Linked DNA regions of Notamacropus eugenii. The protein of the gene in region 3 interacts with the protein of the main gene of each other region in a biochemical or structural test. Links are inferred from orthologs where the notes say so. Each region holds a gene or a part of one and is shown on either strand. Other genes may lie near its edges. The genes, in order: DRAP1, BRF1, TBP and AHR.

Region 1 (7,833 bases), about 250 Mb from region 3:
CAAAAGATGTCTTTTGAATGAATTCCACCTTATGGTAGCAAAGATACTAAAAAATGGACAATTTCATTGCAGGAGCAGTTGGGGAAAGGTAGGCAAACTAATTTATTGCTAGTGAAACTGTCCAACTGCCCGGGGAGGTAGGGGGACGTAGAACTAAATTGTTTGTCCCCTTTGACCCTGAAATCCCACAACTGGGATGATACTTTCAGGAGGTTAATGACAGAAAAAAAAAATAACTCCTGATATGCCATAGCGTTGATGTAGCATTATTTGTGATAAACAAAGATATGCGCCCAACAGCTAGGGGCTAGTCTGTGAGTGTAAAGGAATATTCCTGTATTTTAAGGAATGCTGAATCTGAAAAATCCAGAGGATCACATGGAAAAAGGAAGTAATGTCAATGAAAGAAAATAGGGTCAAAATTGTGCCAATAGTGTCACTATGGAAAAGCAAAGAACTCACGGCCAGGATAGCTGTCAGAGTTTTCACCCTGCCACCAGTTAGGGGACACATCTCCCTGACTTTTCTGTGCTCAATCCAATGGGTTTTTGGGGAAGTGCACCAGCTTAAAAGGGTACAGTGAGGTACTCTGGGAAATATCTGTTCTGTACAAATGAAAGGGTATCAATAAAATTTAAAAATAAAAAAAAAATCACTCTTTGGCTTAGGGATCCCTCCAAAAGGGTCAGAAAAAAATGTATTATTCCAATCCTTCAAGGGCATGAGATTCCATTGGTGATGACTGGAAGGGGACTGTTATTTTCATTTTAAAGTTGCAGAAACTAAGGCAAACAGGGGTTGTGACTTGCCCAGAGTCACACAGTTAGCAAATGTCTGAGACTGAATTTAAACTCAGGTCTTCCTTCCTCCAGGTCCAGGGCTCTATCCATTACACTACCAAGCATCTCGAATGGCTCTTTGGGTGGCCTGTAATTTTGATGTTTTGGGAGATGACAGTTTTCCATGATATTCAGCCATACAGCTGAGTAGAAGCACTTTAAAGGCATTTAAAGAAAGGTGGGTGTTTTTGGTTGGTTTTAGTGAGAACCTTGGGGATCATTAAAAAGTACTGCACAATTTCCCAAATGAAAGTCAGCACCTTTACGGCATCCAACGTCTACCTAAGCACGTCAACCCAGACCACAGACAGGTTTCATCCACTTGGCTTTCCTGCCTAGATAGTTACTGTGTGTGCGCTCTTGAGGATGCCCAGCCAAATGCAGTTCAGTGCAGTCAGCAGACTCTGCCAAGGGGAGCATCTAGATTCTAGGAGATGCCATTCTCTCGAGGGAAGGGATCCTGGGGGGATGTGGCAAAGGCCTCTGTTGGGGAGCATCCATTTCTCATCATTCATCAGAGGCTCACTGAACCAAACAGGAGGACTCTACTATTTTCATCTTTCAAGGATCCCCATATGATTCTCACATGCAATGTTACAAATAAGCCAGGAGGTAACTTGAAATCTCCCCCAGCTCAGAACCCTCCCTTGGCTGTAACTGCCTCCCTCCTCCCCCTGCTTTGAGGCCTAACTCAGGGGCCTGGTCTTCAATGACTCCCAACAGGTGGGAACAAAATGGTTTATGAGAACACTGTCTGTGGAAATAGTGTAGAACAAAAGCTCCTTGAGGGCAGCAGGCTGTTCATTTTTCTTTTTATGCCCAGCATGGGGCATAGAGCCTCGTGCCCATTTCTGGGAACATAATAAATGCTTGTTGATTTAAATTAAGTTTTGCCCTGAGAGGCAGGAGAGAGGTTTGGATTGGAAGCTAGAAGACATAGGTTTGAGTCATGTGACCTCTGTGCCTCAGTTTCCTTATCTGTAAAATGGGGATACTCACTACGCTCCCTACAAGGCTGTTCTGGGGATCAAATGAGAATATACTGAAAGCTCTCTGTAAACTACTACGTGCCTAGAGGTACCACAAGGCAGCGAGCAAAGTTGTTGCAGGACTCAGTCAGTCAACAAGCATTTATTCAGGACTCACTAGGCACCAGGCACTGTGCTAAGTGCAGACAAAGGAAAGCTGTGGAGACAAAGAAAAGCAAAAAACAGCATCCCTCCCTCCAGGGGCTCACATTCAAATGGAAGAGACATCGTATTAATGACTGGGACACAAGATATATACAGTGTAAAGGAAAGGAAGGCAGTGAAGGTGCTGGGGAAGGCAGGAGGCAGAGGTTGAAGAAAGAGCACTGCAGGCACGGGGCACAACCAGGCTTTGCAAAGGCCTGGAGTTGGGAGGTGGTACCGCCTGTGCAAGAACAGACCAATACCTGGATTATGAGATTTGAGGGAAGGAATAAAGTGTCAGAAGACTGGCACTTGTGAGGGGCTTTCATGCCAGAGCATCATCAAGCTGATCCTGGAAGTGGTGGCTGAAAACCAGAAGCACACAGTCAGGCTTGTGGCTTCCTTGGTCCCAGCAAGCCTCCTAACCCCATTCCTCATCACATCAGAGCTGACCAGCTGCCACCTGGATCTGACAACCAGAGGAGCAGGAGGGAGGGGTGGGCTGAAAACAAAGGTGGGCTTTATTGAAGCCAGGGAAGGAATAGTAGAGGAACGGGTTGTAGGAACTGCAGGCAGAGCAGGGAGCAGCAGGCACCTACCCCACGGGCCCCCCCTGCTGGTGGCCCCGTCCACACTCAGGACTACCAATCCCAAGATGCAACACTCCACCAACTCCTAGGTGCTTTGCCATCCAGGGATGGGGTGGAGTAGCTCTAAGCAGGTGGAGGGAGCCCAGTCAAGGCTCTGGGCAAGTAACTGAAACTCTGAGGAACAGGGTCCCGTTGGCCCTCCATCGACTGGACCAACACAGGGAATAATGTCACGTCTCTGCCTCCCCTCCTTTCCTGAGGCCTGACATTGGTCCCCAAAGCCAGGAAGGCAGACCGCCCTGCCATGGGGACTGATTTAAGAGCCAGAGAGCTGCCCCAGAGGGCCGGAATGATTGTCTGTGCCTTCCCCACCCTAGATGTCTTGGCTCCCAGCACCCGAGTGCCCACCCCCCCTAAGTCAGTGCTGTGTTGTTGAGCCTGTCCAGGACTCGGGAGTAGTGGGGGTCACTCTCCAGGTGGTAGCTGCTCTCATAGAGGGTAGGGCAGAGGTGCCAGCGGTTAGCACGGTAGATTCCTAGGTAGGTGTAGACATCTGGCTTATAGGTCAGTGGGCACTTGACCCCAGCTGCCCGGATGGCGGCATCAGCCTTCAGCACTCCTTCCTGGTCTGTGAAGTCCTCTGTGTAGACACAGATGACCTGACGCTCCTCTTCCTGGGCCCGGGGGCTCACTTTGGCCACTTGTAGCTTCCCCTCCACCACAGCCCTGGCAATGCCAGCCCATGCATGGTCCAGCTTGAAGCCGGGGCTCAGGTGCATCAGCCACTTGCCGGTCAGGACCTGGTGAGTGAGGGCCAACTCCCGCAGAATAGCAGGTGTGATGGGCCGCCCGCTGGCCTGTAGGGCTTCCCAAGCCCCCTGCAGTCCCTGGACATCCCCAGCTCCAGGGGAGAAATCAGGCCCATACACTGCAATCCAGCCCACAGGCTTGGGATTGGGAGCGCTGGGGCCCCCATAGCGAGAGACACGAGAAGGAGGGTAGGCAGCCAGCCAGGAGTCCAGCTCACAAGGCGGGGTGCTGCGGGCATCGAAGACCAGCCAGGGGTCCATGTCGGCTGCCATGGCCTCAGCAGCCAGATGCTCGGCCGTGAAGCCATCCTCCTGGCCCCCAGGGGGGATCTCTTCCTCCGGCAGCTCCATCCTGCGGGGAGGAGGAAAGGTGAGGCCCCGGAACCCCCACCTGCGAGCTGGGTGCCTGCAGCAGGGTCAAGAACCCCTCCCCCTGTAAAGGATGTCCCTTGCAGTGCCATCCTACCATCCCGCTCTTTGTGGCCCTTTAGGGACAGAGGGCGGGGTGTCCCAGTGGGTGGAGCGCCGGCTCGAGGCTGGGAAGCCCCGAGTTCAAATGCGGACACTCACGTGGCTGCTCCCTGTCCCGGTATCCCCGTCAGTAAATCGGGATGATGCTAGCCCCTGCCCCTCCCCAGGGGGTGGGGAGACCCGAATGAATGAACGCAGGGAAAGCGCACGGCAACCCCCGCTCGGCCCTGGCTGCTAGAGGACGATCCCAATCACTAAGCCCCCGCCCCCAGCTCTTAAAGGAGAGAAGCCCTCGGATGGATCCCAGCCAAGTCGCCAGCTCGCCTTCGGGGAGCCACAGTCGGCCCCGCCCCTCCGGCTCCTCCGAGCCCCGCCTCCCCTCCCCCGCCAGAGGAGGCGCTCGCCGCCGCTCGCCTCTTCCCCGCCCCTCCCCCCGGCCTTGGCCCCTCCCGGCTCCCGTACACGCCCCGCCACGGCCGCTGCCCTGGCCCGAGTCTCCGGTCTCGCGACCCCGCTGCCTGCCCTCAAGAGCCAGTCACCTCCGCCTCTCGCTCCTCTCCGTGCCAACCCGGCCTGGCCCCCGCTCTCTCCGGGGCTCTTCTCCGCCGCGGGCCCTCCGCTCCGCCCACCCTACGGCCGCCGCCATCTTGGGCCGCCTGCCGCCTCAACAACAACTTTATCGGCAACCGCCGGCCGCGGTCGTGGACAGCCAGGACAGAGGGGGCGGGGGGACGGGGGAGCGAAACTCCTCCGGACGTGGCAGAGGACGCGACCAATGGGAAGCAGGGCCCCTCCGCGGAGGCGTGAACTCGCGGAGGGCGGGGCCGTTGAAGGCGTTCCTCCCGCAGCAGGGAGGCGGGGCGAACGTCGTCCTCCGCGGGTCTGTAGGAGGAGAGGTGCCGGAGCGAAGCGGCCGCGAGGAGCGAGGCGGGGCGGAGCGTCCGCGGTGGCGGGGGCGCTAGGACCCGGAGGAGCGAGCGGCGGCTCGGCGCTAGGACCCGGAGGCGCCGGAGAGGCCCGGCGCTAGGACCCGGGTGGGGCCGCAGCCGGAGCCGGAGGAGCCGCGGCGGCGGAGCCCGAGGAGCCCGAGGAGCCGGGGCCGGAGCCGGGCCGGGGCCGGAGGGCCGAGGCCGAGGTGCGGCGAGAGCAGCGGCGGCAGCAGGAGGCCACGAGATGCCGAGCAAAAAGAAGAAATACAACGCGCGCTTCCCACCGGTGAGGACCCGGCCCCCGCGGCCGCCCCCAGCCCCGGCCCCGTCTGGGCCCTCCTGGCCCGGCCCGTAGCCGCCCCCTCCCTCGGGTCCCACCCCGCCCCGCCCAGGGATCCCGGGGGCCCCTCCCCCAGCTCCTCCCCACCCTGGGACCCCCGCCCCGGCCCCTGCCCCTCCCCCGGCTCTCGCTCCACACCTGGGCCCCCAGCGGTCCCCGCTCCCGTCCCCGCTGCACCACCGGGCCGCCCTCTCCCCCGGCCCAGCGCCCGGACATCCTTCGATGATGGAGGTTCCGGAGGGGGGTGCCCTGGTACCCCTCCTCGAAGCTGATCTCTGCCTCCCCCACCCCAAGGCCAGAATCAAGAAGATCATGCAGACGGACGAGGAGATCGGCAAGGTGGCGGCGGCTGTGCCAGTCATCATCTGTATCCTGGGCCGCCGGGGAGGATCGGGGACAGTGGGGCTGGGGCTAGGAGGTCGAGGGCAGAGGGGCTGGGGGCTCAGGAGGCCGGGGACGGTGGGGCTGGGGCTAGGAGGTCGAGGGCAGAGGGGCTGGGGGCTCAGGAGGCTGGGGACAGTGGGGCTGGGGCTAGGAGGTCGAGGGCAGAGGGGCTGGGGGCTCAGGAGGCCGGGGACGGTGGGGCTGGGGCTAGGAGGTCGAGGGCAGAGGGGCTGGGGGCTCAGGAGGCTGGGGACAGTGGGGCTGGGGCTAGGAGGTCGAGGGCAGAGGGGCTGGGGGCTCAGGAGGCTGGGGACAGTGGGGCTGGGGCTAGGAGGTCGAGGGCAGAGGGGCTGGGGGCTCAGGAGGTTGAGGGCAGAGGGGTTGGGGGCTCAGGAGGTCAGGTACGGTGGGGCTGGGGGCTAGGAGGTCGAGGACAGAGGGGCTGGGGGCTCAGGAGGCCGGGGACGGTGGGGCTGGGGCTAGGAGGTCGAGGGCAGAGGGGCTGGGGGCTCAGGAGGCTGGGGACAGTGGGGCTGGGGCTAGGAGGTCGAGGGCAGAGGGGCTGGGGGCTCAGGAGGTTGAGGGCAGAGGGGTTGGGGGCTCAGGAGGTCAGGTATGGTGGGGCTGGGGGCTAGGAGGTCGAGGACAGAGGGGCTGGGGGCTCAGGAGGCCGGGGACGGTGGGGCTGGGGCTAGGAGGTCGAGGGCAGAGGGGCTGGGGGCTCAGGAGGCTGGGGACAGTGGGGCTGGGGCTAGGAGGTCGAGGGCAGAGGGGCTGGGGGCTCAGGAGGTTGAGGGCAGAGGGGCTGGGGGCTCAGGAGGTTGAGGGCAGAGGGGTTGGGGGCTCAGGAGGTTGAGAACAGAGGGGTTGGGGGCTCAGGAGGCCGGGGACGGTGGGGCTGGGGGCTAGGAGATCGAGGACAGAGGGGCTGGGGGCTCAGGAGGTTGAGAACAGAGGGGTTGGGGGCTCAAGAGGCCGGGGACGGTGGGGCTAGGGACTCAGGAGGTTGAGGGCAGAGGGGCTGGGGGCTCAGGAGGCTGGGGACAGTGGGGCTGGGGGCTCAGGAGGCTGGGGACAGTGGGGCTGGGGCTAGGAGGTCGAGGGCAGAGGGGTTGGGGGCTCAGAAGGCCGGGGACGGTGGGGCTGGGGCTAGGAGGTCGAGGGCAGAGGGGCTGGGGGCTCAGGAGGTTGAGGGCAGAGGGGCTGGGGGCTCAGGTGGCCGGGGACAGTGGGGCTGGGGGCTCAGGAAGCCAGGGTTGAGGGGCTCAGGGCTCCGTCAGGCTTCCCTGATTTTTCTTGACCAGCTCCTCAGCCAGGGCATTAGAACTGTTTTTGGAATCCCTTCTCAAGAAAGCCTGTCAAGTGACCCAGTCTCGGAATGCCAAGACCATGACCACTTGTCACCTGTGAGTCCTGCCAGGGAGGCCCCACTCTGCTCCCCAACTCTGGCTTCCCCCTTGGTCCCATAGGACACATTTCCATTCTCCTTCTTGCCCCACCCTCACCCTTTCCCTCTGCCTCCCTCACCTTTGAAAAGATCATCTGATTCAGAATCAAAAGACCCACATTGGAATCTCTGTTCTGCCCCTGACCTCAGCCAAACCTGTTCTGGGCCTCAGTTTTCTCTGCTGTAAAATTAGGGGGTTAAATTAGAAAGCTCCTAAGGCCCCTTCCAGTTCTTCATCCCAAGAGCTTCTGTTGCCCTTCAGTTCCCCCCACCCCCAAGTCCCCCTTCCTTTGGAGCCTGAAGGAGGAGCTCAGCCCCTGTTATCTCCCATCCTAGGAAACAATGTATTGAATTGGAGCAGAAGTTTGATTTCTTGAAGGACCTGGTTGCCGCCGTGCCCGACATGCAGGGAGATGGAGAAGACAATCACCTGGATGGGGAGAAAGGAACCCGAAGGTAAGGGGCTACAGTAGGACATTCCCCCATTCTCCTCTGACCCACCCTAGCAAGGTGTTGTGTTTCAGAGAAAATATTTCCAAAATCTAACCAGCACCATATACAAAGTGGAACAGTCACAAAATATTTATTCAGCTTGCTATCGTGTGCCAGGCACTGTGAAGCCCCAGATCTCTCTGTCTGTCTCTGTTCATCTCAGGGCATCCCCCCACCCCACCTCCTCCCAAAGAAATGTCCCATAAAACAGATAACATTTTTAAAGAGACAAAATCAGCAGACGCGATCAAATCTTACAAGTCTGGGAACCTACAGCACTCCAGACCTGTGCACCTCTGCCTCGGTGAAGGGAGGAAAGGGGGAGGGAGGCTTCCTTTCTTTATGGTTTCACTGAAGTCC
Region 2 (7,334 bases), on a different chromosome or scaffold from region 3:
GAAAGACAGCTACTCTGATCAAGACAATGATCCAAGGCAAATTGCTTTGTTATTTTATAATTTTCAACATTCATTTTAAAACAAATTTAAGTTCCAAATTCTCTCCCTCCTTTCTCCTTCACCATTGAGAAGGCAAGCAATTTGAAATACATGTGCAGTGATACAAAACATATTTCCATGTTAGTCATATTGAAAGAAAACAGACCAAAAAAAAAAAATGAAGAAAAATTTTAAAAGCAAAAAAATAGTATGCTTTCATCTGCATTCAGATTCCATCAGTTCTTTTTCTGGTGATAGATGTCATTTTTCATCATAAGTGCTTTAGAATTGTTTCATCCAAGACAATTCCAAAGGAACCATGATGAAAAATGCTATCCACCTCCAGAAATAGAATGAACTCTAAATGAAGATGGAAGCATTTTTTAACTTTATTTTTATTGTTTTCTTTCATGATATGGCTAATATGGAAATGTTTTGCATGACCTCACATGTATAATATAAATCAAATGGCTTGCTTTCTCAAGGAGGGCAGAGGAGAGGGGGAGAAAGGGAGAGAATTTGGAACTCCAAATTTTTTTTAATGATTGTTTAAAAAAAATTTACATGTAATTAATTGAGAAATATTTCATGAAATAAAATAATTTTTTTAAATTCATAACTGAAAATACTTAAATTTTAGTGAAAACTGTAGATATAATTTTTTTCACATCCAAGTTCACAGACCCCCTAAAACAGATTTTCAGGAGTCCATGAACCCCGGGTTAAAACCTTTCTATTACATGGTCTCTGGGTTCTCTTCCAGTTCTAGGTCTAAGATCCTAAACCCAGGAAGACTTTGTAAGAAGAGTGAGAAAAGCAAATTCAACAGAACAATATCAACATCTATAACAATGTAAATAAAAACACTTCATAAAAAAAAGCAAAACTAAGGTAAGCAACAAAATCCAGGTCAAGTACACCAATCAATGTCGATATCCAGTTAAAGAGGGAAGCACACATCCTCCCTTTCTGTGAACATACAGTAACCACAAACACTGTAAAATGGCATATAATATTGGTCCTAATCATATTAGGTGATTTGGGGAAAATAATTATTGATGATTCTTGCTTTGGTTATTCCCTGGGAAGTATCTGCTGTACCAAAACACCATGTAGCAAAACAACAAAATTTGAAATTGTAGTATATCATTGACTTTTAAAATTCTTATTAAACTCAAGAATTTTACAAGTGATAAAAAGAAAAAATACAAGAAAACTGCTGTCATTTTTCTGCTCAACTGCCTTTTATTTAAGATAGCACAATGTAGCAAAAATGTAAGATCAGCAGTCATAAGATCTAGACTCTAGTTCTGGTTCTACTACTGGTTGTGAAGTCATTCCTCTCTGGACCTTAGTTTCCTGCTATGTAAAATAAAAGGTTGGCCTCGATCATTTGTAATGCTAAGATTTGAAGACAAAAGGATAACTTTTCCTTTTTTTCTCTTTCTGAACAAACCTAAAGGGCAGCAAGGCCTAAGGCTCTGTTTCCACTCTATTCCCTTCCATAAATCTACTTTTATCTAGAATGTTAAACCCTGGAACACAGAAACTGCCCGGTATTTAGATGCTGCTCTACAGCCTCCTGGTGGAAGGTGATTTTTGCCTACCTCCACGTGAGTCAAGCAATGATGTAAAAACAGCATAGCAAAACGAGTACAGTTATGGACCTGGTGTCTGGAAGAATCTAGGTTCAAATGCTATCTGTGATCTTTCTAACGTGGGCAAGTAGACTCAACTTAAACCTCATTTTCTTCATCTGTAAAATGGGCCTGGTAAAAATAATAACTCCTGTCGTTATCCATCTCACAAGATTATTTGAGAATAAATGCGATAGCGTATATAAGCACTTTGCAAGCTTTAAGGTGCAACAGCGGCAGTTAGGGTTCCGTCTAGTGATCTTTCTCTGTGGACTGGGTTTCCCTCTGCTTTGGGAGGGTCCCTCCTCCAGCTCCGCGATTAAAACTCAGATGCTCGGCAAGCTCAGGGGTTATTCCCCCTCCTCTGACACCTCTCCTCAGGGGCATGTCAGCTCCAGAGGAAGCCCAGGCCCTCCTAGCACTTCCAGACCCCTTCTCGGACCCACCGCACACTTCCCTCCCCACCACTAAAAAAATAAAGAAAAAAAAAGAAAGGAAAACGACCCCGGAGCTCCACCTGTCAGTTCAGGCCAGGGCCCGCCCCTCCGGGCTCAGGGCTCAGGGCCCCACACCTCCCGTAGGGGCCTGGCCAGGCGGGCTCCCCAGAACTCAGTCAAATCCGGACCAAATTCCGTCCCAGCCGCCTCCCCTGGGCAGCTGCGGCCAGTACGCCCCACGCTCCTCACCGTCCAGAGAGACGAACTGCCCCACCGCGGAGGAGCCGCCGCCGCTGTTCTCCACGAACTGCACCTCGGAGACGATGATGTTGTCCTCCAGCACCGAACCGCAGCCCGTGCAGACCGCATCGCCGCGGCCCGGGTCGAGCTCGATGTCTGTGCCGCCGCAGCTCCGGCACACGCGGCCCGTCATCGTGACCCCCACCAGGCCCTCGGCCGCTCCAGCCCAGGCGGGTCCCTCCCGGGCCAGGTAAGCGCTCGGTGCCCCAGCCGAGGGCCCCGCGGTGCCGATCCCCAGCTCTTCCAGCCCAGGAAGCCAAGTCCCGTTTGGGCCTCTTTCTTCTCTCGCGATGCTGCCGGCGCCAAACGGTCCCGCCCCCTCTGCCTCCTTCCCTCCTCCCTTCTCTTTCTCCTCTCCCGAGGCAGAGGGGCCGCTGCGAGGAGCTGCGAACCGCCCTCGGAACCGTCACCAACCGCCGGCGCCGCTGCCTGCGTGGGGCCGTGCTCCGGGACGCTAGGGGCGGGAGGAACTAGGATCTCAGCCGGGAAGCGGCCGGGTTCGGCTCGAGTTCTCGGCACCTCCTAGCCCTGGTCGGCCGCCTAGCGTCGTAAGCGAGTAGGAGCCCCGTTGGCTCGCGTCCCGCCTCTGGGGAGGAGACCTAACGGGGCGAAGGCGGTGGAGGATGCGCTTCCTCGTCCTGCTCCTCCTCCTCCTCCTCTTCCTCTTCCTCTTCCCTCGCGCTCGGCTCAGATGTTCTGCAGAGCCACAGCATCGCTGCTGGGAGCTGCGAACCTCAAGAAGCGAAGCCGACTCTGCCTTCGGAGGCCTTGCGTTCTGCTGGCGGATGCAGACACGGAGCCAGAGAAGGAAATCCTTGGAGAACACTGACAGCAGGAATGTCAAGGGAAACCAGGCGGAGCGGCTCCTCCGATGGGGACCAGAGCACCTTCATGGGATTGTTCTGAGCGCCGCATGAACTGATGCAACGTAAAGCACTTTATGAACAAGTTAGGGCTGTTGAATGTGATGAAATACTGTTGTGTCCTAAAAAATGGAGATGATTTCACCCAGGAAGACTTATATGAACTGATGCAAAGTGAAGTGAGAACTTAGAGAATAATTTACAGTTACAGCAAAAATTTAAAGATAATCAACTAGGAAAAGCTTAGTAACTGATCAACACAAAGATCCGCCACAGTTCTAAAGGATTCAGAATAGACCTCTCTAATCTCTTCACCGCACCCTTCTCCAAGGGAGACTTTTAATTCCTACCCGGGTGGAGACTCAGGTGGTTGGGGCCAAACAGAGAGGGTCCCTGATTAGAATTATATCTTCCAGCTTACTTAAATATTATTGGTCTAAGGGATGTGATTTTCCGGTACAATCTAAATTCTGATCACTTATGACTTTTGGGGAGAGGCAGGACACCCTTCTCCCCTCCCCCGTTGGCAAAATAGGAGCCGAAGAAAGTATACATAAGAGAACATATACTGAGTCCAAGTTTTACAGAACGAATCCTTTTGTTAAGGGGATTTGTTCTGTAAAGTTTGGGTTCAGTCAAAGGGCTGGACTTGAGGACCTAAAGGGCTACATGGGGCCTCGAAATCCCAGATTCCCCACCCCTGTTATACAATGCAATGCAAAGGGGCACTGCAATTGACCAACTATAACTAAAAGAGAGATGGAGAGCTATAGCCTAGTGAAGAAAGCTAGGGAGAGGGGATATGATGGAGACTGCCAGCTCCTCTTGTGTCAGCTTCTTCTCAGAGTCTTTTCCTTCAGGAACCTGAAATGGGGTTGGCATCTTCCATCTTTCTCTGGATCTGGAAATCAGAAATTCCTGAAACTATAGGAAGCAACTCCAAGAAGACTCAAGAGCTCTCCTCCCTCCTCCTGCTCTAGCCAACTCCTCCCCACCCCTGAGACAAACTCAGGACATTGATGTCTACCAATGAGGAGCTTAGATTACAATGAAAAATGCTATCTTCCTCTAGAGAAAGAACTGATGAAATCAGAGTATAGACTGAAGCCTATTTTGTAAAGTTTGTCTTGCTTTTTTAAGAACATGACTAATGAAAAAATTTGTTTTGCGTAATTTCATATTTGTAATGGGTTTTGTATTTCTTGCCTTCTCAAGTAGGACAAAAGGTAGAGGGAAGGAGAGAATTTAGAACTAAAAATAAAATCGAATAAGGTACTTTACAAATGAGCTGAGCCTTGAAGAAAAACAGGAATTCTCCTATTTTCCTCTTTCCTTTCCCTTCACATCCCTTTCCCCCTCCCAGATGATTTGTTCCATTCTTTCCCCTCATTTATCTCACTCTAAATTTAGAGCTATAGTTTGTTTCCTTTGCCTTCATTATTGTCCTCCACATGCTCTTTTTCCTTTGATTCCATTCTCCCACACTGCTTCTTCATTTTCTCATCCATTGCCTTTTCTCCCTTCTCTTTTCCTTCCCTTTATCTTCATTCTTTCTCTCCCTCCTTCTGTCTGAAGTCATTCTGACTCCTCCCAGAATGTATTCTCATTTTTACTATGCCCATTCTTTACTAGCTATAATTCTCATTCTCAAAGTCAATGCTGATCATCTCATCTCCATTCTCATTCTCCTCTACCTCTTACCTACATTTTCCAACTCATAATTTTCATTCTTCAAGCCCTCTCTTCGTTTCTCTTCCACCCCCAAATCCTAATTCTATTCCTCTTCTGCTCTCCAGACCCCTACTGTAGTTCCTCTTCAACTTTTCTTCATTCTCTCTTATTCCCCTTTATTCCCCACCATTCTTCTTTACCCTAGGATCTGTTATTCTCCTTGGCATCTTCCATTCTCTGTCCTATAGATCAGGGGTTTTTAACCTGGGGGTCCATGGACTGAACTTGGATGAGGAAAATAAATCTCATATTTTTATTCACTAAGGGGAAGCTATGTGGCAAAGTGGATAAAGTTCTGAGTCTGAAGTACAAAAGTTCAAATTTGGCCTTAGACATGTACTAACTGCATGACCCTGGGCAAGTCACTTAACCCTCTGTTTCATTTTCCTCATCTAAAATGAGCTGGAGATGGTAATGGCAAACCACTCCAGTATCTTTGCCAAGAAAACTCCTAAGGGTTTGCAAATAGGCAGACTCAAATGAAAAATAATTGACAACAACATATGATTAATAAAATGATACTGAGTTAAGCTAGCATTAACCAATGAATAAGGTCAATGACCTCTCAATGAGCAAAGACCCTGATTGGGTCTTTTAAACCTAAGTGTGTCTTCCTTCTGATTGGCCTGACAGTTCATCATGTGGACTTCCCCTGGCAAAGGTAAAACAATCCCAATAATAGATATTTTAATAAGGAGGTGGATTAAGTGTTGCCTAAACTCCTTCTGGCTGGGAGACTAAACTATAGAATTAGTCTTCATTTGGGAAAGATGTGTTGACCTTCAGGTGCTGATCAAGCCCCTCTTTAACAATTAGGGAATGCAAATTGATTTATGGGACTCAGCTGCCTCTACTAATCTAGAAAACCAGAACCACCACAATCAGGATCCTTTCCTTCCACCCCATTTAGATTTCCTCTTGGAGATCAAATTACCTCTAAATTTCACAAGGAGAGGGAAGGACAGTCCCCTAAGTTGATTCTTGGTTTATCTGTAAACAAAGCAAGGCTCCGACTTTAAACTGGTTAGCTAGCAAATGCCCCAGAGGATATTCAACCAGCCTTTAGTTGGAATTCAGAGAGACTGTGTTTTGAACTAGACTGAGAAATGAGGTTTGACAAAATGAAGAATAGGTTGAATAACAGAGTAATATTGATTATTAAATGACACAACATAATATTAATTGTTCTAGTTTTCCCCTTTGATTCACTGAGAAATGCGGTTTGCTCAATGAATCACTAGCTAATATGCCAATTATTAAATGACATCCAACATATCCACATTTCAGACTTGATTTACCAGGATACAAAAAGACCAGAAAGCACTAAACACTTCATCAAAGACTGTTATTATGAAACTTAAGTGTTTTACTAATATAGAAATAGTGTGTGCATGTGTGTGTGGGGGTGTGTGTGAAAGAGAGAGAGATTGACCTGAACAATTGACAGGAACCATTGTGAACCATCTCCTTCAGTAAGCAGAATTTATAAAAACAGTGATGCATGGGAAAGGAATGAGAGGAAAGTGTGACATTTGGTCTTTTAGTAATCCATTCCCACTGTACATTTCATCAATTCATCTTATCTTATGGTTCAGACATCTCTTGCAGCTGTCTACTTTCTAAAAACATGTAATATAATCATCAGGTTTTTCTGGAAGCTTCTCATCTTAAGCATTCTGGAATGGGCCTATTCTCAAAGCAGTTTCTCTTAGTAGATCTGCTTCTCTGGTTCAGATCTCTTGTAGAAATTCTTAGATGTTTCTGTTAAATCTTTTGCAAAACAGATGTCAATGCAATTTAATGTGGTCAATTTAACTTTGCTTTGCCAACATGTGGTGAAAATTAGCTCAAACCTTATGGCTCTGATCCTATTAACCCATAGTTTACTTGATACTTTGGAGAATTTAAGTTTTTAGAGTGCTTCTGTTTTTGTTGTTTCTATCTTTACCAAAATCTTTTACTTGATTTAGACACGGCCAACAACAGGCTGAAGGGAGGATCTAAAAAAAATCCCATGAGGAGCTGACTTGTAAAATGAGTCCTTCTGGTTAATGATTTTATATTTACCAACATGGACTTATAAACTAAAGTTAGGAGTGTTTTTCTAAATTGGCATTGACTTCACCATCATTTAAATTCTTAAGATAAGAATTCATTTATTTCATTCTTCTCTTAGGATTCAAGTCCCACAAAAGGGAAAACTTCAATTTTATTACCTATAACTTCACTGTAACAGAATTTAGCAAATTATTATGTTGATATAATTGGGAAATTTAAATGACAGCTGAGAAATCAGAACCTAACTAAGCCTCTTAGACTGCCTGATT
Region 3 (6,909 bases):
ACATACTAAAAAAGCAGAGACTTCATCTTATCCACAAAGGTGCATATAGTCAAAGCTATGATTTTTCCAGTAGTAATGTATGGCTCTGAGAGTTGGACTATAAGAAAAGCTGAACACTTCAGAATTGACACTTTCAAATTGCGCTGCTGGAGAAGACTTTTGAGAGGCTCTTGGACAGCACAGAAATCAAATCAGTCAATACTTAAATTAATTCAGGCTATTCAGTGGAAGGTCAAATATTGAAGCTTAAGCTTAAATAGTCTGGGTCACATAATGAGAAGATAGAACTTACTAGAAAAGACTCTCATGATGGGAAAGATGGGAGGCAAAAGAAAATGGGGACAGCAGAGGATGAGACAGATAAATAGTGTCATGGAAACAATGAATATGAACTTGGACAAACTTTGAGAGATAGTGGTCTGTAGCACTAAAGGAGCCTGTAGTGATATGGTCCATGGGGTCATGAAGAGTGGGACATGACTGAAGAGCGACAAGAACAACAACTTCCTGACTCCAGGTCCAATACTCCATCCACTGAGTCACCTAGCTGCCTCATGTGTCTCTAGTACAGTATTTTTCATGTAGTAGATATGGAATATAATATGAACTGAATATGTGAAAAATGTACAGACATAAACATTTAAAATAAATTTTACTTATCAGCTGTTCTTGGTGATCAAAGATTTCTTAAGGGGAAGGCTCAACTTAAGAAGTAGTTAATAGTATGTGAATGATAGAACTCAAACAAGCATGATCTATCAATAATGTTTACTAAGTACCTACCTACCATGTGCTAAGTTCTGCATCTACAAGAGAAAATCTGTTAACAACTATAGAGAAATTTAAGATAGTGTTTCAACTTGGGCTATCACAGTAGCATAGAGACTAAAGACCCATAGATTATGGAGTTTTGGAAGTGGCATTTATTTCCTAAATTATACAGTATATTGAAAAAATTATCAGTTCCCCAGCGGGATGTTAATGTCGCTATACCTGCACCTCAGCATTCCAGTTCGAGAGTTAATTTGGACAAGTAGAAAGGGTTAGAGAGGATCTAGAATAAGGCCAAGCTCCTCTGAAGTAGGCTAACTTTTTTAAGAGGGAGGAAGGAAAAATAAAGGACAGAGGAATACTAATTACTCTGTTCTCTCACTTGCTGATCTCATCAGTTCCCATGTATTCAATTACTGTAGAAGACTCCCAGATCTAAACACTTGACCCTCCTCTTTCTCTTAAGCTCCACTTGCTTCAAGAAGTGTTTACGGGACATTTCAAATTGGCTATCCCATAGGTATCTCAAACTCAGAAAGTCCAAAATAGACCTTTCTTCTCCCCCCACCAATCAACTTTTCTTCCGGAACCTTCCCTGTTACTGAGGACAGCAGTCACACCAACCACATTCGCTACTCAGTCATTCAACCCCACATAACCAACTACCTTCCATTTCTTGTCTCTTTTATCTTCATATTATCTCCTCTATATGTTGTCCTCTTCTCTCAACTAACACAACCACCACCCTATTGAATGAATTACGCTAGCCTTCTAAATTGGAACGTCTCAGGTATCTCTCCATTCTCCATACAACTGCCAACGTGATCTTCCTAAAAGCACAAGTCTGACCATGTCCGCTTCTTCATGACCCCATGGACACAGCACACCAGTACTATAGATACGGGAATGGTTTGCTATTTCCTTCTCCGGTGGATTTGGGCAACCAGAAGTTAACTGACTCGCCCAGGGTCACAAATCTTAGACCAGATTTGAACCTCCAGGTCCAGTCCACTGAACCACCAAGCTGCTAGGAACCATGTCAGTCTCTGAATCAATAAATTCCGGTGACTCTCTATTACCGCTGGGATCAAATATACATTCCTGTTCATTTAAAACTCTTCGAAACCTGCCCTCTGTCTTTCCAGTCTTCCTAAACATTTTGCTTCTGCAGAGGCTCTGGAGGTCAGCTGTAGTGACCACCTTGCTGTTCTCCCCTTTCCGTGCAACTGCACTAGCAATCCCCCACCACTGGAACGCTCTCCCTTCTCTCCCCCTCTGAGACTTCCCCGCTGCTACTAAGTTACCCTGACTGCCGTCTGCATCTCGTACGGACTTTTACAGGACCGTGCTGTCTTCCCCGAGGGGCTCCCACTGTTTGAAAGGCACGGGCTGTAGTCCATCTTCCTTCCTATGCCCCCTTTTAGCACGGTTCCCAACCTCTAGGAAGTCACTTAGTAAGTGGTTTGTGGACTGACCCAGCGATTTCATGGGTATAGAAAGGTTCAGAAAACGCCATCATCTCGAACCATCACCTACAGAGAACGTAAAGGTGTGAGGGCTGCTCGGGGCACTGAAACTGGTCCAGGGTCACCAAGACGCCGGGAGTCAGGGGAATCCAGGTTACCCCTCGGGTCCTATCGAGGTTATCACCCAGGTCCGCCTGCAGCGAGCCGCAGGCACGCCTCTTCCACGGGTCACCGGCACGTGCGCAATCTTCCCTCCGCACTTTCCCCGAGCTTTGGAGGAAATTACCGGGAAACGGCCCCAAGCCCAACAATGCCCTGGGCCGGGGGACCGATCGAGCGGCCAGCGGCTGCCGCGTCCAGGGCCCGGCGCGCTCCGGCCGTGAACCCCCGAGCACCTCGCGCCTCCCTCCGGTCGTTCCTGCAGCGCCCCCCGCCCCCCAGCCGCCTCCCGCGCGCCAGCCAACCCTCCTCCCATCCCCCACTTCCCGAAAAGAAGCCCGCGCGCGACACGGCGGCCGTCGCCTCGACCGCCCCCACCGAGTCCACTCCCTCAGCTTTCCCCACCTCTTGACTCTCCAGCGAGGGAAGAAATCAAAAGAATGATACCTAGAGTCTCTAAAGCCACCGCCGCGGCAGGTGAAACCCGAGGTCGGGCCGGAGGCAGTCTCTCCGCCCGCCACGGCGACCCAAGCCTACCCGGCCTTCCTAACCTCCCGGCGCGCCGAGTGACGCCACTTCCGCCATCTTTCCGTTTAGCTTCACTCTCGCCTGCGGCCATTGACTTATATAGCCATGTTCAGTGTGGGCAGTCATATCACTTCCGGAAACGCTCCCACGTGACTGGGAGTGGGCGGTGCTAGGGAGGTGTGTGGGCGGAGCTGGTAGCTAGCTTAGCTCTTGTGGTGCTGCAGCCTTGGTCTCTGGAGCGAGGCTTGAATAGCCGCTACTTGTGGCACTTGGGTCTTTCTGGAGAGGCGCGTGTTCACGGCACCCATTCCCATCAGTTGAGCGGGGCCCTTGTCACTCTGGGTGCACTTTGCCTGGGACTGTGGTTTTCAAACTTTTTGTTAGCCACACCCCTCCTAAAATGTCTTTATTACTACTCCACCCCCTCCTTTTTATAAAATAATCAGGTAAATAATTGCCATTGTAAAGGTTTTATGAAGATAAAATTAAGGAAAAAAGAAATCAAAAAGTTAAAAATCCCTAAGTAAACACTAACACATAAAAATAAATCCCATAAAAAGCGCGTAATTGCCTCAATTCAGGTTTTATACAAATAAAATTAAGAAATCACTGCTCCACCCCACTTCTTTTCATAGAATAAGCAACAAAACAGTTCTCTGTAGGTATCTGGGGGCAAAAGAGATGGGCTTGGCCCGGGCCTTTTGTTGGTAGTCAGCTTATCCAAGATCCCCAGAGTTTTCTACCCTGAGACCGCCAGCCAGTTCCAGTTTTACGTGCAAAGAAGCTAAAGGCTTCCTAAACTCACATGATCGTAGGCAAGCTTAGACACATCCACCTCAAAGTTAACGTTTGGTCACTTTGAAAAAGGCTGCCAGGGACCCGGTCAAACGCTCACGTGGCAGTGTTGGTGGATTGGGAAGAAAGAACATAACCTATTCCTCCACCATCTTCATGAAGAATCTAGAGATAGCTTATTACTTGTCCAATGGAAGAGTTGAAGCAAAGACACTGAAGCTGTTTCTTCTTTTAACTAATATGGTATCTCACCCCCTACTTCTGTCATGGTGGCATGGAGAGAACTAAGAAACCCTTCCAAGGTCATCCAGAATACCTAGTTATTTCAGTGCCAAGTTACTCCATGACCAGAAGTAGACCCCAAAGTTCCCCACTCTGGTCAACTAGAGGGCAGCTAGATGGTTCAGATGACAGGGCACCAGGCCTAGAGTCATGGAAACCTAATTTCAAATCTAGCCTCAGATACTAACTGTGTGACTCTGGACAAGTCACTTAACCTGGTTTGCCTCAGTTTCCTCATTTGTAAAATGAGCTGGAGAAGGAAATGGCAAATCATTTACCAAAAAACCCAAACAGGGTCATAAAGGGTCAGACACAACTGAAACTGCTGTCCAACAACTTGGTCAATCAGAAAGAAGGGCAGTTCTGAGGACTGTTCATGGGATAGCTCTAATTCAAATTTCCCTAGCCCCAAGTATTTATTGATAAACTCTTTTATATTTTGTATCCTTTACTCAGATCTCTCCCTCCCCTCAACATGGGAGTCAGTTTAAATTGACTAGATTCATCAAGGTAGGAGGGCTGACCTCAGATCAAGTCAGATTTCTCTATTGGTTTGCTCCCATTTAGAAATTTCCAGCAAAGCTAAGACTTGGATCATGTTTAGGGTCGTCTCTTGGTTATCAAATGTGGAACGGTTTTTGTATGTCCTTAATAGAAACTGAATATACACAAAGGACTCAGAGTTAGACATAAATAATAAAACACTCAAATATTCTATGAGAGATGATGTTTAAATCCTTGGGAACTGGTGAAATTACCAAGTTTCTATGCAGATGACTTGCAGACCTATATATCTAGTGCCATTCATTGCCCTGATCTCTGATCTTGCATTGCCAATAGCCTATTGAACATTGCTTTTAAAAAATTATATTTCCTTTTTTTTCAACAAGTAAAATTCCATCTTCTCTCCTTCTTTGAGGATGAAAGGAAGAAAGCTGTTACAAACAAGTTGTTACATGGTACAAACATGTAAAGTCAAACAAAACACATAGCTGTATGGGCCACATCCAAAAAACCTTTGTTTTATTCTGCACTCTGAGCCCTTCATCTCTCTATCAGAAAGTGAGGAGCATACGTAATTGTTAGTACTCTGGAATTGTAGTTGGTCATCACACTGATTAGCGTCCTTAATTCTTTCAAAGCTGTGTGTCTTTACCATGTTGTTGTCATTGTATGCTTCATCTATTCCAGGAATTCTGGTTAAATTTTTTTTTGGCCTATGCTGCATTTTTCTTTGTAGTTGTTTTGAGGTAATTTTCTTCTGAGTTTGTCTTCAGCATCCCTATCACCATAAAAACTCTTCATGATGGGATTTTTGTTTGTTTATTTTTCAAGCTTCCTTTCTGACTTTAGACTTAATTTTAGGGCCAAGATCTGTACACTTTTGGAGGGAATATCTGAGCTGCTTCTACTGCTACTTTCTTGGCATATTGAAATGTTGTGTTACTTCATAATCTCAGGAACAACTCAGGCTTGGAGTTTTCAATACTCCTAAAATTGTCTGATTCAGTGCAAAGTCTGATAGCTGCCTGCTTAGTCTGACCTCTGAAACTTCCTGGTGTGGGTAGTAGTAGATTACTGCTGGACTCAGCTATTATCAGCCATCTGAGAAATGCTGCTGGTTGAGAGTAACAGAATTGTAGGCTGGCCTTAGCTCTGGAATTCCTGCCTTGGTTATTACTCTGCAAGTTTCAGGGTGGGCTAGAAGCTAGAACTGAGACCCCTTTCTCCTCCTGGGATCTGAGCCACACTGCTGCTGCTTGCTTCTCATCTCTTTATACAATGTCCAGCTTCTCACCCTCCCCAGTTACCCCTTATAACCACTTTTTTAAAAGAGGAAAAGAAAAAAATTCAGCAAAATTGACATAAAAAAATCAGATATTTTATGTAATATTCTTCACTGATCAGTTACCCCAATGCAAAGGAATGTGTGTGGGGGGGGGGAGGGGGCAAGGAAATGCCTTTTTATATGTTCTTTTTGAAGCAAGGTTGGTCTTTATGATTTTGTACCAATATGGTAATTTTCACAAACTTTTTTAGAACTGGAAGGGACCCCAAAGATCATCTCTTCTCACCCTCCCCAGTTTCATGGAGGAGAAAATTGAGTCTGGGAGGAATTAAGCAAATCAATCCAAGGGCAAAGCTGGTACTTTATTTATTTTAGCTTTTACAAAAGAATATTTTTATGAAGAAGATATCGGAGAAATAAAAGCACAAACCCCTCCAAAACCAAAAGTACACTGTTCCGGACCAGCTCAGTCGCTGAAGAGTTATTAAACATTTTCCCCACCAAGTGCACTTTACTCGCAGAATACAATGTCTTGGCTGCCAGGCCATTCCATTGTTGGGTTGAGTGAAACAGACCAACCCTTAGTGCTGGCTCCTGATGAAAGCTGGTACTTTATCTATTTTTAAAATTTATTTATTTGTTTTTAGTCTTCAACATTCACTTCTATAAACTTTTGAGTTTTGAAAGCTGTAGTTTAACAGCAGGCTCCGAGCTGGATCTGGAGGCAGAGGGCCTGGGTTCGAATTTTGCCCTTCCTTACCAGTCAGACCCTGGGCAAGGCACTCTGGACCTCACATCTTCATCCAAGAATGGGGGGTGGGAGGGAACCTCTCCATCGTCTGGGTAACTCTCCAACACCGGAGACAGGTGAGAAGGTGCGATTGCGTCGGTAGAGGGAGCTTGCTCCTCCGGGAGCTCCCAGAGCCAGCGTCAGGAGAGGTCAGTAGGTGCCAGGGCTGAACCTTGAACCCGGGACTCCCTTTCTCCAAGGACAGCTCTTCAGCGGAGGCCTCTGGGCTTGTGCTTGTTAAGGGCAGCACTTGAACGCAGGACTCAGAGGTCGGTTCTGTATTTTTACATGGTTTGAGCTAGTAAAGCTTCCCAGAACAGGTAAGGCCA
Region 4 (7,388 bases), on a different chromosome or scaffold from region 3:
GTATATTAAAATGAGAGCTGCTGTATATTCAAAGTCATTAAACTTCTCCAAAAAAGTTCTAAAACTTACTCATATCCTCAGTCGAGTCTGATCTGAGGTCCTAAAAGACAGTACAGAGAGAGCTATGCAGAGAGTGCTCTCTGGAGGGAACCATCAATCCATCAACCACAAAACTCTGGTACCCTTAGAAAGAAAGACTCAGGAAAAAGATTTTTGAGTTTAAGACTTAAGTGCTTAATGCACTGAAACCAAATTGACCAGAGAGTTTTTGGAACAAGTTTTAGGACGTGTCCCCCAAGAATTTCTGTGTAGGGTGAGCCCTCTCCTCTAGTTTTAATGACCTGGTGATTTGTAGTCATCTTTAAAATGAGAATAAAGTCAGTGAAATGATTATCTTCTCTCCCTCCAATGGGCACTGAATAAGACTCTGACTGGTGGCTTTTCTTTAAGCATGTCCAGTGCCCACACCCTGTCCTGCAGCCAAAGGGTCCCCTGCATACCAGGACCCTGTCCTTCCTACTGCCCAAGTGGATCATGCAGTAACCATCGGCCTGGAGGTATTTGTGATGTTAGAGACTGGATAACTGCAGCAAATCCTCCCTTAGTAATAAAGAAGTTGGAGAAATGGGGAGGTGAAGTGGGCAAAGGGTCCTAATCCATTCCATTCTTCCTATCGTCTCACTTGTCCTATCTGGAATACAACATAAACAGTGTGATCTCTATGGACCAAAGATGACCGAATGTTCCATACCGAGTCTTTTCTTTCAGAATTAAACACAGGTTTCTAATAACTTCAGAACTAACTTTGTTTCTCAGATGGCATAACAAAAAGAATATTAAATAGCAAAATATAAAAATATCACTTTATCATATTTTTAAAAACTTGCCTAAAAGAATAATAAGTATTTTATTAATGATTATTTTACGAGCTTTATCCTGTGATCTGACACATAGAAAAATAACCAAAGGATCTATGGAATCTAGAATACTTCCACACTTTCCATCTACTCTATTAATAAACATATGAACAGGGACTGTGCACATATCAACAATTTAAGCATCATTCATAAATAAAATCTAAAATCTACAAGCACATTTTTGAAATACAAAATATCTTACAAGATGCAAAGTGTTTGCTTTTGTTTGAGTTATCAATGCAACTACTCTTCCAATCATCAATTTACAATACTCTCAATCCAGGCAGGAAATCCCAGCCTCAGCTAAAAACCTCATGTAATGCACACTGTCTAAAGATGCTGCTGTCAAAGTTAGTGCATGCCATTTTAATTAGTGCCTATTTATGGCACAACTATGGAGTTCATATGCTAACGTCAATTTAGGTTTTTCAGAGTTAACTCTAAAGAAGTAAGATCACCGAGACCAAAGAGGAAATTTTTAAAACTTAAATGGGCTATTTCATGTTCAAAGAAACTTCTTTGAAGTTAGTTACTTCGAGCTACTTCAAATCATCGGCGTGCAACTCTTTTTGAATGTTTGTGCACAAGGAACACTTCCAATTTTACAAAGTATGGTTGCGAAATCCACTGTAATCCTCCTTATCAGTATTTGAAAATGTAAGTGACCTAAATATATTAATACTAACAAATGAAAATATAGGAATACAGCTAACTCTAAGAATGAATGTTAGATGTAAGAGAGACTTTTTTTTTTTTTAAAAAGAACTTTTATACATCTGTATACTTGAATCACCCAAGGTGTGCTTGCAAGGAGAGGGCCGAGCCTGAACTCAGGAAAACAGACTTTCAAATCACCTCTCTCCTAAATACTAGCTGCGATCTCCCGGCCAACTCACCCCTTCGCAAAAATCCAGCTAACTCTCCAAGCCCACAAGTTACAATGAGTTAGAGATGTACATTGCTGGAGGGAATTTCCAGACTGCGAATTCCTCACCACTCTAAAATTACTATTTTCAACAACATGTAAAGAAATCTGTTCTTTTGTACTCTGAACAGAGAGCCCCTGGAAAATTCTCAAGTTCAGGAAAAGAAAGACCCCCCCCCCCCAACTCGCCACTGTATCCAGTTTGTAGATTTCACAGTGAGAGTCTTTCCATTACACTTGCGGGGGGAGGGGTGTGGAGGTTTGGATACAATTTGCTACAAACATACCCAGCGCTCCAGGACCCGCCTGCGGTGCCCATACTCGGGCCGGCTTAGGTGAGCTCCCGCACCCAGGTGCCCGCTGCCTCTACTATTTCCCACCCACGAAAGTGAGGCGACAGCCCGGGGTGGGGTGTGGGCACCGCGGGGAGCTCCAGAAGCCGCCCAGCACATGTTTGGCCCCACTGGCCGCGCGCCCCAAGAAACTCCGCGGAAGCTGTCGGGGCTCGGAGCCCGCGCTCCCACCGGGCTCAGTGAGAAGGGCCCCCGACAGAGCGCGCCCCGGGGAGCCCGCGGCCCCTGGCTCTTCGATTCTCGGGGGAGAAGAGCCGTCAGGGTGCGTGCGTGTGTGCCAGGGGCACCGATCGGGAGAGGGGCAGGGGGCGGGCACGGACCGCGGGCCGACCCCGCTCGGTCCCGGGCGGCCAGGGACGCTTACGTTTTCTGCACCGGCTTCCTTCGCTTGCGGCTGGCGTAGGTGATGTGGGCGCCGCCCGCGCCGCTCATGGCGCCGGCCCCGCGGGGTGCGGGCTGCGCGCGGGCTCCGGGCGGCCGCAGGTGACGAGCGCGCGGCCGCAGGTGAGGCGAAGGCTGCGGGCGAGCGCGCGCAGCGGGGGGGGCGGGCGCCTGGACGCAGGCGCACAGGGCTCCGCTCTTCAGCCCCCCGAGCGCCCAGAGCCCCCGCGAGCCCAGCTACACCCGGGGGGGGGTGGTGGGAGGGGGCCCCCCCCAGAGGGCACGGCAGGGGGCCCGCGCGAGTCCTCCGCCTCAGGGCCTTCCTCGGCTCCTGCCGCCCGCCCGGGACCTTGGGGCCGCCGCCGAGGCTGCTACTGCTGCCGCCGCCTCAGACGAGTCACCCTGAGCGCTCCGTCCCCTCCCGGCCACCTCCAAGCAGCCTGACAGCCGCACCCTCCGGCCCCGCCCCTTCGCGCCCCGCCCTCCCAGGCCCCGCCCCCGCACTCGGGGCTCTACCCCCCCCCCCGGCCCCACCCCTATTGCTTGCGTCACGGCGGTAGACGTGCTGTCCCTCTTCCGGCGCCATCTTGATAAGGTCGGGAGCGAAGCTATGCGTTCCCCCCTCCCTCCCCGCCAAGGATGCTGCAGTTGTCTCCTTGGCTGCTAGAAGGCAGCTCGGCACTCGGCCCGAAGCCCCCCGGACGTGTGCTCACACACCCTCTGGGTCCACTTTCTGGTCAGTGGTCAATGGCCCTGAGCCTCAGTTTCCCCTCCGTGAAATGGAGCCTCTCCAGCTGGGCTCAGTGCGTGCAAAGTCCTGGCGGCCAACAGCCCCGGCCCTCAAGGCGCTTCCACTCTACACCGTGCCCTGATTGCCTGGGCCCGGGGAGTGGGTCTTCAGGGCAGGCTGTCAGCGCACAGCTGGTAGCTCCACGCTGACCCCAGGTGCCTAGGTTCCCTGAGCACCAGTCCAGCCTCGCAGTCCCGCGATGCCCGCATCCCCATTGTGGTGACAGTCCAAGCTTGTTTTCTACATCTCGCCTTCCTTAACAGCTGAGATGCGGAGCATCTGGAGACGGCTGCACCTGAGAGGTGGTTCCTGAGCAGTCTGCAGGGGCACCAGGGATTCCTGGATCTCGAGGAAGAAGAGGAGGGCAACTCTAGTCTTGGACCCGGGTGCCAGTGTAGGATCTGCCATTTCCTCCCAGTTCTCTCATGACCTTGGGAATGTATCCTCTCCCTCTCCACTTCATTCCCCTCCTCTATTCAGTGCTTTGTGCAGGTTTGATTTGTGAATCTGATCATTAATGGCTAAGTCCTAAAACTGAAAGAAGTGAAAACAAAACAAAAAGAAAACCACCTGCAGCGGTGCTGAGTTCCCTTTAGACACTGCTAGAGTAGCGATGTCTTGCCGAAGCTTAGCAGGTATGCAGGAGAGGAGGGTTTTAATAAAAGCATTCCTCCTACCAGGTCTTAGCAATGCACTCCCTAAACTGTCCCACTCAGGACTGAACACAATAGTGCCGCTGTCATCTGCCCACGTCAATCACCTCATTATTCTAGGAGGCCATAAGACTGTATTTTTTCTTAAAGAAAAAAAGATAAAAACCAGGCCCATATCCCATTGTTAATGCCTGCTTGTAGCCTCTTTCTGGAGAATTGCAGTCTGACCAGATTCCCTCATCTCATTCCTGTGAAGTTGATCCAGGCCAGAGGTACAAGAGATGTCGAGGTTGAGACCCTTGTCAGCTACATAGAGGGGAACATTAGTGCCACAGAGGTGTCAGTGAATGCTGTGGTACTGGATGACAAATGTAAAGAAAAGAGAAAAGTTGTGGGGACATAGCCATAGGGGAAACCCACCTTTAGATCCTATGGGGAAGAAAGACCTGCAGGGGACAGAACTGCACCCAGCAGAGAGATGACAGAAAGCCAAGATGAGCTGGGGGGAAGAGAGTGGTGGTGCATGAGAGGATAACTCAGTGGTGCCATCAGCTTCAGAAAGTTAGGACTGATGGAGGCTGGCAAAGCTATTACTGTGCACAGCATTTTAGAAAATACATTAATGAGATGGAGAACACCCAAAAGAGAGCACCACAATGGGGAAGGAAACTTAGAGGTTATCTAGGCTGATGCCCTAATTTGACAAATAAGCAAACTGAGACCCCATTGGACTAAGTGACTTACCCAAGGTCACACAACCTGTAAGTGGCAGAACTTCGTGCCTCAGATCCCTGAGCTCCAAATTCAGCCCTCTTGCCACTCAAACTTACCATCTCAAGTACATGCCTTCTGAAAAGAAGTCTTAAACCCAGAGAAGAGAGGGTTTGGGGCATTTGAGATTTGTTTTGAAGTATTTCACAGAGGAGGAATTTGCCCATCTATAGTTTGTTCATAGAGGTTTGCATGTTTTCTCCCCATTAGATGGTGAGCCCTTACAATACTAGACTTGTTCTGCGTGGCTCCAAATAATAGAAAGGGTGAAAGTCACTACAAGGCACATTTAGTCTTGGGAGCAGGACAGCCTTCCTGACGGAGCTGTCCAAGGTCAAAGGGCTCTGTTTGTAATGGACTCCCCCTCAATGGGTGTCTTCCTCTAAAGGCTGACCAACCACTTGTCAAGTGTATGGGAGGGGAAACTGGTTACAGTGGATGACTTCTGATGATTCTATGTGTGGCAGAACAGGAGTCAGCTCATTTTGTGGCCTTCAGGGGAAGTTTCAATAGAGTGGTCGTGGTAGATAGATTTGAAAGAAGACAAGCATGTGAGTGGGTGCTGCAAAAGTGAAATTATCAAATGGAAATTACTCCTATGGAAACTTTGGTGGTGATAGAAACAGGAGGTAGTAACTTCAAGGGCCAACGTTGTTTTTGGTTTTTGTTTTCCGATTGGTTAGTTGTTTTTATAAGAAAAGAATGTAACTGATAAGAAAAAAATCCCCAGAGAAACCAACATATTTGTAGCAACACTTTTGTTTGGGGGGAGGATAAAGAGTTGGAAATGTGTAAATACCTCTTGATTGGAGAATGGCTAAACAAATTGTGGAACATAAATGTAATGGAAGATGACTGTGCTGTAAGAAATGACAAATGTGATGAATATAGAGAAGCATGAACAGATCTACATGAACTGATGCAAAATGAATTAAGCAGAGTCAAGAAAATAATAGATATGATGACTACAGCAATGTAAATGGAAAAACAACCACACCAAAAATCAGGAGTCAAATTTTCACCATTAAAAAGAACAAACCTGGCTTGAAGGAAGAAATATGAGAAGAGAATCAGACCCCTTTGAAGAGATGGGAGGTCCAAAGTGTTGTACATTGCACTTATTTTCAGACTTCTTCAATTTATTGGTCAGTTGTGCTGATTTTTTCCTTTCTTATTTTTAGCATTTAAAAATTGCTATTTGCAAAAAAAAAAAAAAAAAGAAATCTTAAATGTCATTTGCTATGTGAAATAGCTCTCTGAGAGGAGCAAGAATATTGGGAGAAATGATGGTGATGTAAAGAAAAAAACAGACATCAGTAAAAAACTTACTAAAAAAAAAGGAAAGAAGGAAGTAGGGAGGCCTTCAGGGGAAGGATCCAAGGGAAGAAAATTGGAACACTCCAGGAGAGAATGAATGGATACACATATACATGTACACAATGGATAAACAATAAATGTTTATTTTTAATCATTTAATGTAGGCTAAGCACCGTACTCAAAGCTGAATGAAGACAAAGCTCTGCCCTCCAGAAACCTACCTTCTAGTTAAGGTGGTATTGTTATTTCCACTTGACAGCTGAGGAAACAGAGACAAATAGAGGTTTAGTGACTTGCTCAGGGTCACACAGCTAATGAGTATCTAAAACTGGATTTGAACTCAGCTCTTCCTGGCTCCAGTCCAGGCTCTGTATCATTGTGCGATTTCATTTGACTGAGTTTTCTCTTCTGTAGAATGGGTATGATAGCATTTAGCTCCTGAGGCTCATTTGAACCCAGTTCTACCTCATTCCAAGTTCAGGACTTACATTGCTATGCTGCTGTTCATCTGATATCCTCTCGATGTTGATCTTTTCGAGGCTGGCGCTCATTTCCCCCATTCCCACCTGCACAAAGGCAATGATGTATTTATATTAATCCATCAACATTCTTTCTTCTTCTTGAGCTGTGGAAACATGTCAAGGAACCTGAATATTGGTATAAGTGTTGTCTATGGCTGTGAAATGGACCAAATGTAAGTGGGGTTATGAAATGATGGTTTTGTATCCATTAATATGATGAATGAATACATGAATGAATGAATGAATGAATGAATGAATGAATGAATGAGTGAGTGAATGAAGGCATCCCTTACTATATGCTGTACTTACAATCCCTTACTATATGCAAAGCACTCTGCTAAGTTCTGGGGACAGAACTAGAAAGGTAAGACAATGCCTCTTCTCAGGGGGCTCACATTCCAGTTGGAATAGAAGACACACTAGGAGGGTCTAGCTACAGGGCAGAGAAAACATCCCATGAGCACTTTGGGTGCTGCAGCAGAGCCAGTGGTAAGGATAGGGGATGGGCATGAGATTCTGAGCTTCTCAAGGGCAGAAACTGTCTTTTCCTTTGTCTTACTAGAGCCTGGCAAAGCATCTATCATATAGTAGGTGCTTAATTAATGTTTATTACTGACCTGAGAGCACAGCCTCAGTGGATTCAGACATGCCCCCAAAGGGAAGATCATGGTAAGGTGGATTCAGGAGGCATGCTGGAAGGGAGGAGCCCTCCATGCTTGGTTCTGTTTTCTGCCCCACCCCCCTTCTCCCCCTAGTGGAA

What was found.
Region 1: the proteins of TBP (region 3) and DRAP1 are reported together in a solved structure, tested with the Homo sapiens proteins (2 studies listed by BioGRID, with this or other methods). The link is inferred for Notamacropus eugenii from reciprocal best matches to the Homo sapiens genes TBP and DRAP1.
Region 2: the proteins of TBP (region 3) and BRF1 form a complex in vitro, tested with the Homo sapiens proteins (2 studies listed by BioGRID). The link is inferred for Notamacropus eugenii from reciprocal best matches to the Homo sapiens genes TBP and BRF1.
Region 4: the proteins of TBP (region 3) and AHR form a complex in vitro, tested with the Homo sapiens proteins (2 studies listed by BioGRID). The link is inferred for Notamacropus eugenii from reciprocal best matches to the Homo sapiens genes TBP and AHR.

Annotation. Positions count from the first base shown.
Region 1 is NC_092873.1:18,626,677-18,634,509, forward strand, and holds the start of DRAP1 (dr1-associated corepressor), read left to right. Parts: upstream 1-4,827; 5' UTR 4,828-5,054; coding exon 5,055-5,096; intron 5,097-5,444; coding exon 5,445-5,517; intron 5,518-6,846; coding exon 6,847-6,940; intron 6,941-7,317; coding exon 7,318-7,437; intron 7,438-7,833. Other genes in the region: C2H11orf68 (UPF0696 protein C11orf68 homolog), read right to left, coding at 3,015-3,762, 4,421-4,527. UniProt on the Homo sapiens protein: The association of the DR1/DRAP1 heterodimer with TBP results in a functional repression of both activated and basal transcription of class II genes.
Region 2 is NC_092872.1:334,325,326-334,332,659, reverse strand, and holds the start of BRF1 (transcription factor IIIB 90 kDa subunit), read right to left. Parts: upstream 3,015-7,334; 5' UTR 2,547-3,014; coding exon 2,363-2,546; intron 1-2,362.
Region 3 is NC_092873.1:267,361,451-267,368,359, reverse strand, and holds the start of TBP (TATA-box-binding protein), read right to left. Parts: upstream 3,021-6,909; 5' UTR 2,802-3,020; intron 2,688-2,801; exon of another isoform or gene 2,308-2,687; intron 1,530-2,307; exon of another isoform or gene 1,438-1,529; intron 1-1,437. UniProt on the Homo sapiens protein: The TFIID basal transcription factor complex plays a major role in the initiation of RNA polymerase II (Pol II)-dependent transcription.
Region 4 is NC_092874.1:10,117,982-10,125,369, reverse strand, and holds the start of AHR (aryl hydrocarbon receptor), read right to left. Parts: upstream 3,002-7,388; 5' UTR 2,628-3,001; coding exon 2,560-2,627; intron 1-2,559. UniProt on the Homo sapiens protein: Ligand-activated transcription factor that enables cells to adapt to changing conditions by sensing compounds from the environment, diet, microbiome and cellular metabolism, and which plays important roles in development, immunity and cancer.